2 linked regions of the Arabidopsis thaliana genome follow. The protein of the gene in region 1 interacts with the protein of each later gene in a pairwise test. Each region holds a gene or a part of one and is shown in the gene's direction. Other genes may lie near its edges.

Region 1 (7,818 bases):
TTAAGACTGAGCTAGTAGTACGAAACCCTAAAATTAAACCAAATTGGAGAATGAAAAACCCTAATCGCAGCTACACGAAATCAGAAACCCAAACATTCACAAGAACACACAAGGATGAGAAGGAGAAAGAGAGATACCTGTCCCTTGACTTTGAGATTGATGTGAGCTCCTCCGTCTCCTGGCTTCTTGTCTTCCTCCTGGTTTGCAGACATCGTGAAAGGTTCTCCGTCCGGTTACAAAAACACGAAATTTGAGAGAACGATGAGAGATTCACACAATCAAAGAATGATGCTGAGAGATGAATATAAAAAGACTGACTCTGAAAATCTCTCTAATTGGCCGTGGCTTTTGTACTTGGACGCATCGGATTCCTCTCTATCATAAATCGTAGGGCATCTATCCAACGGTTCATATTCTCTCTAGGTTCTCTTTTAATCCAACGGCTGCTAGTTATGTTCAAATCTGTCGTTTCGTTATAATGGGCTTATATTTTTATTGGGCCACATCTAACCCACTAGACAATTTCATTTGGTTAAATATTTTAGGTTGCAGTTCCTGATCTCACGTGACGTGAGTCCTCCTATCCACCACTCTCCATGATTTCATCATCTGTTGAAGACTTGACAATTTGACATAGAAGAAATAAATAAATTGTTAAATCTATAAATCATGTCACTTTGTGTATTAACAAAAAGATTAGTTGAAGGAGATAAAGTCTGTCACACACTCTTCACAAAAGAAAGAAATGATGATGAATTAACGAAATATGCGCAATGCAACATATAAAGAACCTAGGTCTTGACTCTTGTTTAAGAAACAATAAAAGTCAAGGTTTTTGTTAGGTTTCTGTTATAACCAAAATCAACTATGAAAACATTCATATGTTAGAAAAACATCAAAATTATAGAGAGTTCCTTTAACTGAAGATTATGGTAAAGTAAAACTTTTTGCTATAAATAGAGCTTTAAAATTATACAGTTTTAGTTAAATCTATTATTTCAGCTATTCTTCCGTGTTATTAGTTATCCCACAACCCCCACTTGGCACTTGTTTACACCTAAATCGTATAAATACTGTAGACCAGCTCCGTCCCAAACGCAACAAAAACTTTCCTTCGTCTCCATAACTATCAAACGACACTCATCTATGCGTTTAATGCTCTGTTTCTGAAGATACACTCGAGAATAACCATGGCCGTTTCTTTCTTACCTTATTTTCTGATTCTTTCCTTCCTCTCAGCCATTGACGCACGTTAGTTTTTAATCTCTTCATATACCTATGTCTGTCTCTGTATTTGCCGTGTCTACTACGTTGTTCTTATTTTGCGTTTTTTTTGTTTTTGTTTCCACAGATTCTGGAATGGTCGGAGTCAATTATGGTCGGATAGCTAACAATCTCCCGTCGCCGGAGAAAGTAGTGAACCTCCTGAAATCTCAAGGAATCAACCGTATCAAAATCTTCGACACCGATAAGAATGTACTAACCGCACTTGCAAATTCCAAAATCAAAGTAATCGTCGCTCTCCCTAACGAGCTTCTCTCCTCCGCCGCCTCCCACCAATCATTCGCCGACAACTGGATTAAAACCCACATAATGCCATACTTCCCAGCGACGGAGATCGAAGCTATCGCCGTCGGTAACGAAGTATTCGTCGATCCGACGATCACGCCGTATCTTGTCAATGCGATGAAGAACATTCACACCTCTCTGGTTAAGTATAAACTCGACAAAGCCATCAAGATCTCGTCTCCTATTGCTCTTAGCGCGCTTGCTAATTCGTACCCGCCTTCCTCTGGTTCTTTTAAACCGGAATTAATCGAACCGGTTGTTAAACCAATGCTTGCTCTGCTTCAACAAACGTCGTCGTATCTTATGGTAAATGCTTATCCGTTTTTCGCTTACGCAGCAAACGCCGATAAAATCTCTTTAGACTACGCTCTGTTTAAAGAAAACGCCGGGAATATAGATTCCGGTACCGGATTGAAGTACAACAGTCTCTTTGACGCTCAAATAGACGCCGTTTACGCGGCATTGTCCGCCGTCGGATTTAAAGGCGTTAAGGTGATGGTGACGGAAACAGGGTGGCCTTCCGTTGGAGATGAGAATGAGATTGGTGCAAGCGAATCTAACGCGGCGGCGTATAACGCCGGACTTGTGAAGAGAGTGTTAACGGGTAAAGGAACACCGTTAAGACCGACGGAGCCACTTAACGTCTATTTATTCGCTTTATTCAACGAAAACCAGAAACCGGGGCCAACGTCTGAGAGAAACTACGGTTTGTTTTACCCAAACGAAGGGAAAGTGTACAACGTTCCGTTCACTAAAAAGTCAACGACGCCGGTCAACGGTAACAGAGGTAAAGTTCCGGTGACGCACGAGGGACATACATGGTGCGTTTCGAACGGAGAGGTAGCGAAGGAGAAACTTCAGGAGGCTCTTGATTACGCTTGCGGAGAAGGAGGAGCTGATTGCCGCCCGATTCAGCCAGGTGCCACGTGTTATCATCCTGAGTCGTTAGAAGCTCACGCTTCGTACGCCTTCAATAGTTACTACCAGAAGAACTCACGTCGTGTTGGTACGTGCTTCTTTGGTGGAGCTGCTCACGTCGTCACGCAACCTCCTCGTACGTTAATCTAATCTCTCCTCTGTTTTTATCATAACATTACATATTTTGCTTTAGTTCAATTCAGAAGTGTATATTTAGCTGTTATTTATGCTTAAAAATTCATTTGGTATGTTTATTGAAAAAAAGAAAAAGATAGTGGCAAATGGTTTAGTAGTTGGCGGTTGTGAAAGTTGAGCTATATTGGGTCATTTTGGCCTTTTAAGATGTTCACGTTTCTGTAAGATCGATATATATGGTGACCTTTAATATTTTTATATAATTCTAACAAAATTATTTTTTCGTTGATTGCAGGATATGGAAAATGCGAGTTTCCCACCGGACATTGAGGCGGAATAGTTGGCAGCAATTTTCTGTGTTTTTTTTTTTGCCTGATTTATTAAGTACATTGTTTGCTAATCGGGAATATATATATATTTTATATTGTGTATAAAATATATTAACTTTGTTGAACTATTTTATATATTTTAATTTAAAATTATATCATCACTAGATTATTCTCAAAATCTTGCATGAATGCTGAAGTTTGACATAATAAACAAAATGAATTTTATGTTGCAAAAATAGTATATTTTATTCTAGTATATTATTATTAGAATTTCAGGGTATATATATTAGAAGGAATAAAATCTTGTATAGTGGATAAAATGATTCTATAGAAACTAAAAGATTCATCTAGTTGAGATTATAGAAATCAATGATTTTATTAATCATTTTATCTATTATATATACAATCAGAAAAAATGATAAAGATTTTAATTATTAATATCTTTAATTTTTATAATCTCTACTAGATAAATCTTTTTCTCTAATTGTTTTGAGATATCATCATATAAACAAGTAAACATTATCAGCACTTGTATAAATCCCAATATGGATGATGAACAAAACCTGGTTGAAGAAATGAATCAACAGCTTCTGATAACCGTCATTGATACCGAAAAAGTCCCGGAACTCCGACCAATATCATCACGGAGCCACCAAGAATCCGAACCAGCTAATATCTCACACTGGTCACTACTTTTCAAACTCTTTCTAGCCATCACGATCATGGGTGCTTGTGTAGCAGGTGTGACGTTTGTCATATTGATTACGCCAACTCCCCCCACAGTACACGTACAATCAATGCATATATCGTTCGCCAACCACAATCTCCCGGTCTGGTCCGCAACGTTCTCTATCAAAAACCCTAACGAGAAACTCCATGTCACGTACGAGAATCCTTCAGTGTGGCTGGTTCACCGGGGAAAGCTCGTGTCGACCGCAAGAGCTGATTCGTTCTGGCAGAAAGGCGGAGAGAAGAACGAGGTTATTGTCAAGAGAAACGAAACAAAAGTTATCGATGAAGAGGCGGCTTGGGAAATGGAGGATGAAGTGGCGGTGACAGGAGGTGTGGTGGGTCTTGATATGGTGTTTTCTGGGAGAGTAGGGTTTTATCCAGGAACTTCTGCTTTATGGGGAGAACAGTACATGTCAGCCGTTTGTGAGAATGTAAGTGCCAAGTTGTATAATGTTGATGACGAGATCTATGGGACAAATAGATCGGTTTTGTCATTCGATGGTCGACTAGTATGCAGTGTACGTCTCCCTAAATATCCTTAGGTCTTAGATATTTAACAATGGTCAATTAGAGTTTGTTTTTGCAATTTGTTAGGGATGTGTGATGTTAGATGACTTACGGCTGGTCAATGATGTTTAATTATGTATGTTTTTTTGTTGATGACAATATTAGTGATATGCTTAATTTGATGACAATCGATGACCTTTAGAAATTAGGCTTGATACATTCATATCCACAAGAGCAGAGAAAACAGTTGTTGTGAGAATCTTAATGGAATAATTATCACGCTGATTTGTTTTGGATTTTCCAATTGATTTTGACAAACTAAACGGAAGAATTGAGATTTTGAAGATTTGGAGTATGACGATTTTGTTGTTTAAACTAAATTATTGCATTACACGTCATCCACAACAATCATTCCAAGTCACAAGGATATATTATTATTCAGCCCAAATGTAAAAGAAAACGCGGCCCAATAGTCAAGTCACAAAGTAACACAATGTAGTCTCTTCCTTGTTCTTAAGAAGACTTTTTGACTCTATCGCAGCTCCAGCGTTCAAACGCGAGAATACCTCCAAGGTCGAAGCGTAAAACATCGCAAGCATTACGGGTTAAAAGCGAGTCAGTTGGTTTACACGGACTTGTTGCTTTCAATTTCCTCTACCATTTCCACGGGTAAGCTTTCTTAAAAAGCTTTTTGTACGTAGGGTCGTTTGCTTTTCATTTGGACGCCACATGCTCGATGAAATTCCCCAAAGGGATTGTCAGTGGTAATTAACGTTTTTTCTCTTTTGCTTTTCCGCGGCAGTCGAATTTCTGGTTTACTCGTGGGTTGAGAATCAGGATGCTGCCCCAGAGGTTGAAGAAGGCTATAACGGATAATCCAAAGAAGCTTGGGAATTTGATTGACCTCGTGAATCTTCCATCTACTCTACGGAACTTTGTTGGTCAATCTCAGATTTCCCGTCTGGGTTGTTTCATGCGTGTCTGGTCCTATATCAAGACCAACAATCTTCAGGTTTGATCATTAAGTTATTTAAGCTAAAGATTTTTTTTTAAAATGTTTTGTCTCATTGACTGATTGGTTTTGTTTCTTACAGGATCCTAAGAACAAGAATGTGGTGATTTGTGATGAGAAGCTCAAGAGCATTTTGCTCGGGAAGCAGCGAGTGGAGCTAGTCGATCTTCCTTCTCTTATCAAGTTGCATTTTCCCAAAGAACAAAAGAAGAATTCTCAGAAAATTTAACTTTTGCTTCTTTGGGGTCGTTTTGTTCTGTGATGCTTAAAGATATATGATTGATACTTCTAAGTTCTGGATTCTGGATTCAATTCTATTTCTGTTTTCTTATGTAAACAGTTTCTCCTTGTCGGGTGGTGCTGTGTTTTTTATAACATCAAAAGATCATCTTTAAGTACTTACACACTTCCACCATATAGTGGGAAAAACTGGTTCTTTTACAAACATTATGGAAGCTTGATTCAAATAATATCAAGCAACCTGAAGTGATCATTGGTAACGAATACAACTCAGAAACAGAGCAAGTTAGTAGAAGAAAGAATGTAGCATGTTAAGGAACATGTTTGTGGTATGGGATACATGAGGAGTCCCAAAATCCATATTTGCTTGCATCCCAACATGTGAAAGGGTTCAATCTATCATCCAAGTAGCGCATCCCCTAGTATCCAGATGCAGTTTGGAAACCTGCAAGAGAATTAAAAACACAGTGAGAAGAATTCTTGATAAAAAAGAGTAATTGATACTCATAAACCTTAGTGTATGTCTTTTGAGGGATAGAAAGCTTATTACTAACCAAATACTTCAGGACTTTTCATGATTCTAAGACCATGCGATTGTTTCCGCTCATTGTTCAGCTCCTTGTTCAACAGTGCGATTGAATTATCTGGACACATCGTGGTATCTTTTGATACACTGGCTTCCATCAAGATTTGTGTTCTTGCATCCGATAAGAGGGAGCCTGTAGAGAGATATCTTTGCAAGCTCCGAGTCTGTAAATGTCTCTCAAGAAAATTCTCCTAGGATACTTCAGCTGGTGCGCTTTCGTTTTGGCGAACGTGCTTTTGGTAAAATCTATTCAAGGCATCTGCTTCAGTCCGCATGCCAGCCCTATTCAATTCTGCGATCATTATCGTGTATGCTTTAAAATCGGGCTCCACTCTTTTGAACTTGAGTTTATAGAACAAATCATATGCTTCTTTCACCATACAAGCCTTGCACATCCCATGAATCATGATAGTATATGTAATAATATCAAGATCATTTCTAGTCTTTTGCATATGCTCGAATCTGCTCAATGCTTTCTCTACCTCCCCATTAGCAAATAGACCAGCTAACACAATGTTGTAGCTCCTAATATTGGGAATCAGACCATTAGAAGTCATATATCCAAAAACTCCTAGAGCGAGATCTATCTTGCCTGCTTGAAAATAGCCCTTGATAAGAGTGTTGCAAGAGACTGTGTTTGCAGCCACGCCTCTTTGAGGCATGTCGTCTAAAAGTTTAATCCCATCATCTACCCTCGACGACTTGAAAAATCCATTTGCAAGAGTACTGTAAGTGACTACATTTGGGGTGCACCCCTTGCTTATCATCAAGTCAAGCATTTTAATGGCCTCGTCTACACGATTGTGCATGCAAAGCCCGTAGATAAGTGAACTGTAAGTGAAAACATTAGGATCTATAGACATTTGGATCATCATCTTGTACACACTATCAACCTTCGACAGTTTCCCACGTTTTGCATATGCATCGATTAATGCACTGAAAGTGATAACATTAGGGTTGATTTTCTTGGAGTCCATTTCGTGCAGTCGTCTCTCGGCGTCAGCCAATCTACCGGATTTACAAAGGCCAGTTATGAGAGAGCTGTAGGTAACAACATTCGGTGAAATTCCTCTGTCTTTCATACGTTTGAGAACCTCCAGCGCGGGAACCACAAGTCTATTTTTGCAAAGAGTATCAATGAGTATGGTATCGACTACAACATCACGTTTGATTCCCATTTTCTCCATTTGGCCAGCCACATAAACAGCATCCTTAATACTATTACTGAGACAGAATCCATTGACCAGCGAGCTAGCAGTCACAATGTCAGGCTCAATACCAAGCTTCATCATCTTCCCAAGATAAGATAAAGCCGAAGAGGGTTGAAAGCAGCGGCAGAAACAATTCACCAAAATGTTACAAGTATAGAGATCAGGTGAAATTTCAATACCTTCAGCATTCTCAATACGTTTCCAGAGATTAATCACAACATCATACATCTGCATCTTAGCAATAGCAGTCAATACTTTATTGAATTCAACAATTGAAGGTAGAGGGTAAGAATAAGCCATGAGTACGAACAAATGAAATGCATCGTCGAACTTAATATTGTGAAGCCCACTTCTCAATACCTCTCGATAATCAATAGTAGTACCAGAAAAAGCTCGTACCCAGAAACGAAATCTCAACGACGGAGAAAGAACAATCCCAGGATTACTGTTCTTCAGAAAATGGTGATGAAGATGAAGAAACCCCTTAGCCGTTGAAGCAATCGCAGTCGCAATCGACCACCGCATCCAATCGTTTCGACTTCAGCTTGATTTGGGTTCGTTCCCAAATTCTGTCTCAGG
Region 2 (8,090 bases), on another chromosome or scaffold:
AAAATATATCCAAGAGTTGTGTTGCCAACAAGGTTGGGTTTTGGAGACGGTTGGCTAGAACAAACCCTAAAGCTTGCTCTAAACAATCATGTGCTAAGATACCAGCATACAAGAAGCTACTCAAAATAGGCTCTTTCTCTGCCTGAAACGCACAACAAGATTCACCATTATAAGATTCAACATTTCACAAACTGTACTCAAACTTTCTTGTCCTATGTTTGGTTGGATTAAATATCAAGGCTTTCAAAGAGAGAAACAAGACTGACTAATTCTAAACCCTAATGGATACTACTATAACAACTGTGGATTAACATGGAGACGCAAAACCATGACATTTACTTTATCTGAACAAGAATAAGAATCGATGAAGCAGAGAAAGTGTTAGAATTTGAGGGAAACCTCAAGTTTAGCTTCTTCTCTTATAGCATCCCAAATAGGATCAGAACGAGGATCAAGCAAATTCGAGTCAAACTCTGACTTATGAGTTCCCTTAGCGTAAACCTCGAAACCACTCTCGAAAGGAAGCTCATCGCCATTCATATCTCTCCAAGGAGACGATAAAGAAGAATCACAAACTCTTTTTGATTGGACAAAAGAGAGAGAGACGGAGAAAGCAAAAAGGAGGCTACTTTAATGGATATGATGAGAAACTTTGAGAAACCCCTTTTTAATCTATTTTGTTTTCTTAGTGGATTCTCTCGATGGTCGCTGTTGTTGTTTGGTTTCTCGTTGATCTTGTGTTTGTGTTGTGTTCCAGTGTCCACCGCTTTGAATGGTTCTACTTCTACTAATTTCATATCATTTCATTTGTATATATTTTTGTTGGCTTTGGCCTTATCTGGTCGCGACCGTAATTGAGTCCAAGTTCGTAATTGTGATTAGGGTCTCTTTAATCAGATAATTGTTTTTTAATCAAAGAGGGATCGAATAATATTTTTTATAAGATTACTATAGTTCTTAATCGTATACCTCGAGAGGGGGAATATGAATATTGTACAAGGAAGATAGATCCACCATAAATTATGCCAACTTGTCTTATGTTTATAGCATATTTCTCTATAGTATTTATATTAATGTCTCTTGTGACTTGTCGCGTACTAAAACTCCTATATGAAATTGCAAGCATTCAATTTAAAAGTATATATATATCCGTTAAATTGAATTTGAAACTTGTAATGTTTTCCATTCAGTAAATCACACACCGTTCGTTAATCACGAGGCAGCACGACTGTCATTATCTGATGAGTTCCCACAACAGAGAATCATCAAACTCGTCTTGATAAACTTCAACAGATACAATAAAGTTTCAATTTTTTTTGAGAAGTCGAACAACAGCCAAATCAAAGTGTTAACCATGAGATTCTTGTTAACCAAAAGAGCATTCAGAATCTTCAACCCACGTTTCCAGAGACTGTGGTTAACTTCTTCTCCCTTCTCCTCAACCTCAAATTCCGGCGGATTTCCCGACGATTCCGAGCCGGAATCATGGAGAACTATAGAGGGTCTTCTCCGTTCCCCTGCAAATTTCTCTCCTTTATCTCCAATCACGTTCTTGGAGCGATCCGCTAAGGTTTACAGAGACAGAACCTCTCTTGTGTTTGGTTCCGTTAAACACACTTGGTTCCAAACTTATCAACGTTGTCTCCGTCTTGCCTCTGCTCTTACCAATCTCGGAATCTCTCGTGGCGATGTGGTTAGTCTCTTTAAATTGTTCAATTTTCTGCTCTGATTAGGGTTCTCGATTTAGGTTTAGTGATAAAAGAGGAAACTTTTATAGGTTGCAGCTTTAGCTCCGAATGTTCCAGCTATGCATGAGCTTCATTTCGCTGTTCCTATGGCTGGTTTGATTCTTTGTCCGCTTAATACTCGACTTGATCCTTCCACATTGTCGGTTTTGTTAGCACACTCCGAGGCCAAAATCCTCTTTGTTGATCATCAGTTACTTGAGATTGCTCATGGAGCTCTTGATCTTCTTGCTAAATCAGATAAAACTAGAAAAAGTCTGAAGCTTGTGTTGATCTCTCAGTCTAATGATGATGATGATAGTGATGAAGATAGCTCATCTACCTTTGCTTCAAAGTACTCTTTTGATTACGAATATGAAACTCTGCTTAAATCCGGAGATAGCGAGTTTGAGATAATCAAACCGAGATGCGAATGGGATCCTATTAGTATAAACTACACTTCAGGGACGACTTCGAGACCTAAGGGTGTAGTGTATAGCCATAGAGGAGCTTATCTCAATTCTCTTGCTACAGTCTTTCTTCACCAGATGTCTGTTTATCCGGTGTATTTATGGACAGTGCCGATGTTTCACTGTAACGGATGGTGTCTTGTTTGGGGAGTAGCAGCTCAAGGTGGTACTAATATCTGTCTCAGGAAAGTCTCTCCTAAGATGATCTTTAAGAACATTGCTATGCATAAAGTGACTCACATGGGAGGAGCCCCAACTGTGTTGAATATGATTGTGAACTATACTGTGACTGAACATAAACCGCTTCCTCACAGGGTTGAGATCATGACAGGTGGGTCACCGCCTCTACCGCAGATCCTGGCTAAGATGGAAGAATTAGGTTTCAATGTGTCTCATCTTTATGGTTTGACAGAGACATACGGTCCAGGGACACATTGCGTGTGGAAACCTGAATGGGATTCACTTTCGTTGGAGGAGAGAACTAAGTTGAAGGCTAGACAAGGAGTGCAGCATTTGGGTCTAGAAGGGCTCGATGTGAAAGATCCGCTGACAATGGAGACTGTCCCTGATGATGGTTTAACCATGGGTGAGGTTATGTTCAGAGGAAACACTGTGATGAGTGGATATTTCAAGGACATAGAGGCAACACGAAAAGCTTTCGAGGGAGATTGGTTCCACAGTGGTGATCTCGCTGTTAAGTATCCAGACGGGTACATAGAGATAAAAGACCGGTTAAAAGATGTGATCATCTCAGGAGGAGAAAACATAAGCTCAGTGGAGGTTGAGAGAGTTTTGTGCAGCCATCAAGCGGTTCTTGAAGCTGCTGTTGTAGCACGTCCAGATCATCACTGGGGACAGACTCCTTGCGGTTTTGTAAAGCTGAAAGAAGGATTTGATACCATCAAACCCGAGGAGATTATCGGGTTCTGTCGAGATCATTTGCCGCATTACATGGCTCCAAAGACTATAGTTTTCGGGGACATACCTAAAACCTCGACGGGGAAAGTACAAAAGTATCTTCTGAGGAAGAAAGCTGATGAAATGGGTAGCTTGTAATCGCCATGTAAGAAACAAAAAAGCTTAGTCTCTGGTTCATGTGTGTATGTAAGGAAACAAAGATCAGAGAATCATAAAACCACCGCGTGAAAATGAAGAAACAGATCAGCCATGGATATGATTTGGCTATAATTAGATTTGTTACGCGGAAGGCCAACGATTTTGTTATTTTTGTGCCTCAGAAAGATTTTAAGACATTAAAAAAAGAAAGAAGTAGCCAAAAGAATATTCCGCCGTGTCTGAAACGAGTCCATTTCGTAGGAAGATTTCAAAGCACAATCTTACTTATCTGTTTTCTCTCTTCTCTCCATTATAAATAAATCTGCATCCTGTGTTAGAATCTTTAAACAAAACCATCTGACTTATCAACAACAACAAGAGGACGAAGAAGAAGAAGAAGATTGTTACTTTCTTGATCGATAATGGCGTCGAATGAAGCTGGAAGGGCATTGCCGAAATTCGGGGAATGGGATGTGAATGATCCAGCGACGGCGGATGGATTCACGGTGATATTCAGCAAAGCCGGTGAAGATAAAAAGACGGGACGGAGTTCGACGAAGACGAATTCACAGAGGAAACAAGATGGTGATAAACCAGCGGTCAAGAAATGGCTCTGTTTCACTTTTGCTTAATCTTTTTTTTTTGTTTGTTGAGTAAGTTTTAATCCTAAGAGAATGTAGCTTTGAGCCTTATGAGCCCTTTGACAACTTTTGTGTTAGAACATTTCATTTCGTTTTTAGTTATCTAATAAAACAAATTCTGAGGTTTTGTTTCTTAATGATAAATCTCTGCATTTGGTCATTTGGAAATCAACAAAATTGTAGTTGTTGATTAAAGAATTGCAAAAGTCATACAAAAAAGGTCTCTTAGATATTGAGGTGAACACAAACTCTTGAACATGTTCAAAATTCATACAAAATGTGTTCTTCCTTACAAAACCTTTCTTTAATCTCTATTGATTTGGTCTGTAGAACAATGTTCTTGTATGGGGTTTATTGAGAAAACACAGAAGATCTTTCGGTTCTTTAGAGAACATTTTGCGGAAAGATTGTTGTTTTTAGGGCTTTGCCCACAAACTTGTACAGAAAGCAAAGAAAATACTGTGTTGAGGCCTTGAGGGAGAGAGGCTATCGCACAAACTGACTTTGGGCTACCATTCAAAAGCCCAATAGGCCCAATGTATTTCTACGGTTTTTCCTATTCGCTAACGTAAGCAACAGACTACCATGCGCCGTCCTCTGTCCATTTTCAACACAACAGACAAAATGCATCTTCACCCACACTTTGGGCCGATATTAACAAGCCCAATAGGCCCAATGTCTTGCCACGGTTTCTCTCATTTGCTAACGTAAGCAACTAGAGTACACGAGTGTAACTACTATACGCCGTCCTCTGTCCATTTTCAACACAACAGAGTCACAAAAACCTCTGCAAGAACCCTAAAGCTAAAACCTTTTTGCGATCAATCGAAAGAAAACAAAAAATGGGGAAAGTTCCGTCGTCGTTTCGTAGTATGCCGGCGAACTTATTGGTCAGAAAAACAACACCATCTCCTCCAGCGCCGCCGCGAGATTTTCGCAACAGAACCGCCGTGGGAGGAGATTCAGCCAAACTTCCCCAGAATACTCAAGCCCCTCGCGAGCCCTCCTTGAGGAATCCATTCAAGTCACCAAATCTCTCAGACGCTAAAAGCCTCTTCAATTCAATCGCCGCCACTTCACGAATCCCACTCGATCTCAAGTTCCACAACTCTGTTCTTCAATCATACGGTTCAATCGCCGTCGTCAACGATACGGTGAAACTCTTTCAGCATATTTTGAAATCGCAGCCTAATTTCAGGCCGGGACGTTCAACGTTCCTTATCTTGCTTTCACATGCTTGTAGAGCTCCTGATTCGTCGATTTCGAATGTTCATAGAGTTCTTAATCTCATGGTTAATAATGGTTTAGAGCCTGATCAAGTAACTACCGATATCGCGGTGAGGTCTCTTTGCGAAACGGGTCGGGTTGATGAAGCTAAGGATTTGATGAAGGAGCTCACTGAGAAACACTCTCCTCCGGATACATATACTTATAACTTTCTACTGAAGCATTTGTGCAAATGCAAAGATCTTCATGTTGTTTATGAGTTTGTTGATGAGATGAGAGATGATTTCGATGTTAAGCCGGATCTTGTTAGCTTCACTATCTTGATTGATAATGTTTGTAACTCTAAGAACTTGAGGGAGGCAATGTATCTAGTTAGTAAGTTAGGTAATGCTGGGTTTAAGCCGGATTGTTTCCTCTATAACACGATTATGAAAGGTTTTTGCACACTGAGTAAAGGGAGTGAGGCGGTTGGTGTGTATAAGAAAATGAAGGAAGAAGGTGTTGAGCCAGATCAGATTACCTACAATACTTTGATATTTGGACTGTCGAAAGCTGGTAGAGTTGAGGAAGCTAGGATGTATTTGAAAACTATGGTTGATGCGGGGTATGAGCCGGATACTGCTACTTACACATCACTGATGAATGGAATGTGTAGAAAAGGTGAGTCTTTAGGTGCGTTGAGTTTGTTAGAAGAAATGGAAGCAAGAGGGTGTGCTCCAAATGATTGTACTTATAATACTTTGCTTCATGGATTGTGTAAAGCAAGGTTGATGGATAAAGGGATGGAGTTATATGAAATGATGAAATCAAGTGGTGTAAAGCTTGAGAGTAATGGTTATGCTACACTTGTGAGGTCTCTGGTTAAAAGTGGCAAGGTCGCAGAGGCTTATGAAGTGTTTGATTATGCAGTTGATAGCAAGAGTTTGTCAGATGCTTCTGCGTACTCTACACTTGAAACTACCTTGAAATGGTTGAAAAAAGCTAAAGAACAAGGCTTGGTTCCATAAATGGTATCCTCTAGCTGAGCTTTACCGACTTTCTTCTTTATGCAAGTCCATATTTCATTTTTGAAGTAGTGTTACTCCAAAAGCAATGAATTTGTTTCGAAATATGCTGTTCGATTCTTAAGGGACCAGCAGTGATTTATAATAGTAACTTTGTTGGTAATATTATTGTCACTTGAGATTTCTAAAGGTTTCCTTAACACTCGAGTTATTGATTGGGTGAAAGTTGTTGCTGTGTTTCTATATGAACAGTCATATTCTATTATTCTGTTTGTATCAGCTTCTTGCCTTCAGTGTCATGTACTCTGTTCTTATGAGCTATTGTGAATACCATAATTGGTTATTGATCTTGCCTTGGGTTGTTGCTTGAGAGATCAAGCAAATAATATTTGCTTTGACAATTGCAATATCTGTTTGGGGTAAATGAGGCAGAGTATCTGAGTAAAGATTGTTTCTTGTGAACAATTTTGGTTATTGATCTTGCCTGGGATTGTTGCTTGAGAGATCAAGCAAATCATATTTGCTTTGACAATTACGCTATATGTTTGGGGTATTAAATCAGGCAGAGTATCTGAATAAAGAGATCGTTTCTCTTGTTTGGCTGCAAGAAGAGACTATTATCTTCTTGAACAATCTTTTCTTATATGCTCTGTTTTAACACTAAGCAGCCCAAGTGCAGAGTATTTGTGAATTATCAGTTGAATTACAAAGTACAAACCAAATCATTGAGGGGGACAAGAAAACAGAGGACAACGTTAATGGAATCATGAAGAAGATTTATAAGTGGTCAACATTCTGGTATTAGTCTATTTCATTGTTTATGACCAAATTCTAATCATTTGGTGAATAAACTCTTTTGTTTATTTTGATTTCTCTTCTGTCATGTTTCATTATCTAGTGTATTTTGCTGCAACATCTGTTTCTTTGTCTCCCCCATTAAACAATAGAACGCTACGGAAATAGATACATATTAGGAAGAAATGTACGTACCGCGAGGTCCACGAATACATGATTCGCCTACCATCATTGTGTAATCTATCGATTATCATAGCCTCCAGCTTTTTCTTTTAGTATAAGTTACTCCTAGCTGTCATGTTCTTATATATATCTTGCATATCTATGACTATGTACTCTAGAGAATATGAAGGAAGCAATAATAGACAATTATGGAGACAAGATGATAAGAATAATCTGAGAGCTTGCCGTGTTCGTGGTCACAGAGAGATAATTAAACAATGACAATGGTGCAAAGATCCTCATTTTTTTAAGACTTTTAATATTTAAGACAGACACAATTGCTCAAGAGCTTAATATAACTCTTGGAGTTTCCATTATGAGCTAGGTTGCTTATGAAGAAGACTAGTCATTCAACGTAGAGACTCTGTTGAGCAGTATAATTCCGTGAGTGCTAAAAAAGATGTAGCTTTTGTAAAGAAGACATGATTTTATAGTTTCAATCCAATCATATATCTTCTAATATCGATTTATAATTTTATAAATGTAGCGTATAATTAATATTTATAACTAAAGAAGTAAAGAGCATAGCCAAGAAAATACTAAACTCAAACTATATATCACGCCACAATTATAAATCACTTTTGTTTTTTTGCTAATCCCCTATGTGCAAATTAAGTGATGTATAAGGTTATTATACACACATCTTAAATAACTACGTGAATTAAATATTTATCCTGTTTGTGTTATAAATTATAAATTATTGTTTAAGAAAGTATTTGATCAATAACAAAAAATATATGATTTATAACACAAACAAGATAAATATTTAAAAATATATTTCTTAGATAAAAAGAATGAGAACATCACTTAAACAAGATAAATATTTAAAAATATATTTCTTAGATTAAAATAATTTATAGTCATCAAATAAATTACGTAATAACTAAAAATTGTTTTCTTTCTTTCTTTTTTTTGGCTCGACAAACAAATAATATCCGCTAAACTATCATA

What was found. The genes of interacting proteins can lie anywhere in the genome.
Region 2: the proteins of AT4G26810 (region 1) and AT2G17670 interact in a two-hybrid assay, tested with the Arabidopsis thaliana proteins (one large-scale study listed by BioGRID).

What each region holds. Positions count from the first base shown.
Region 1 is NC_003075.7:13,489,860-13,497,677, reverse strand, and holds AT4G26810 (SWIB/MDM2 domain superfamily protein), read left to right. Parts: upstream 1-4,662; 5' UTR 4,663-4,859; intron 4,860-4,892; exon of another isoform or gene 4,893-4,992; 5' UTR 4,993-5,028; coding exon 5,029-5,202; intron 5,203-5,284; coding exon 5,285-5,431; 3' UTR 5,432-5,600; downstream 5,601-7,818. Other genes in the region: SUMO1 (small ubiquitin-like modifier 1), read right to left, coding at 138-212; AT4G26830 (O-Glycosyl hydrolases family 17 protein), read left to right, coding at 1,279-2,623, 2,918-2,952; AT4G26820 (GrpE-like protein), read left to right, coding at 3,497-4,225; AT4G26800 (Pentatricopeptide repeat (PPR) superfamily protein), read right to left, coding at 6,220-7,764.
Region 2 is NC_003071.7:7,669,687-7,677,776, forward strand, and holds AT2G17670 (Tetratricopeptide repeat (TPR)-like superfamily protein), read left to right. Parts: upstream 1-4,632; 5' UTR 4,633-4,733; coding exon 4,734-6,125; 3' UTR 6,126-6,590; downstream 6,591-8,090. Other genes in the region: ATSERAT3;1 (Trimeric LpxA-like enzymes superfamily protein), read right to left, coding at 1-142, 400-540; AT2G17650 (AMP-dependent synthetase and ligase family protein), read left to right, coding at 1,355-1,693, 1,778-3,250; AT2G17660 (RPM1-interacting protein 4 (RIN4) family protein), read left to right, coding at 3,673-3,882.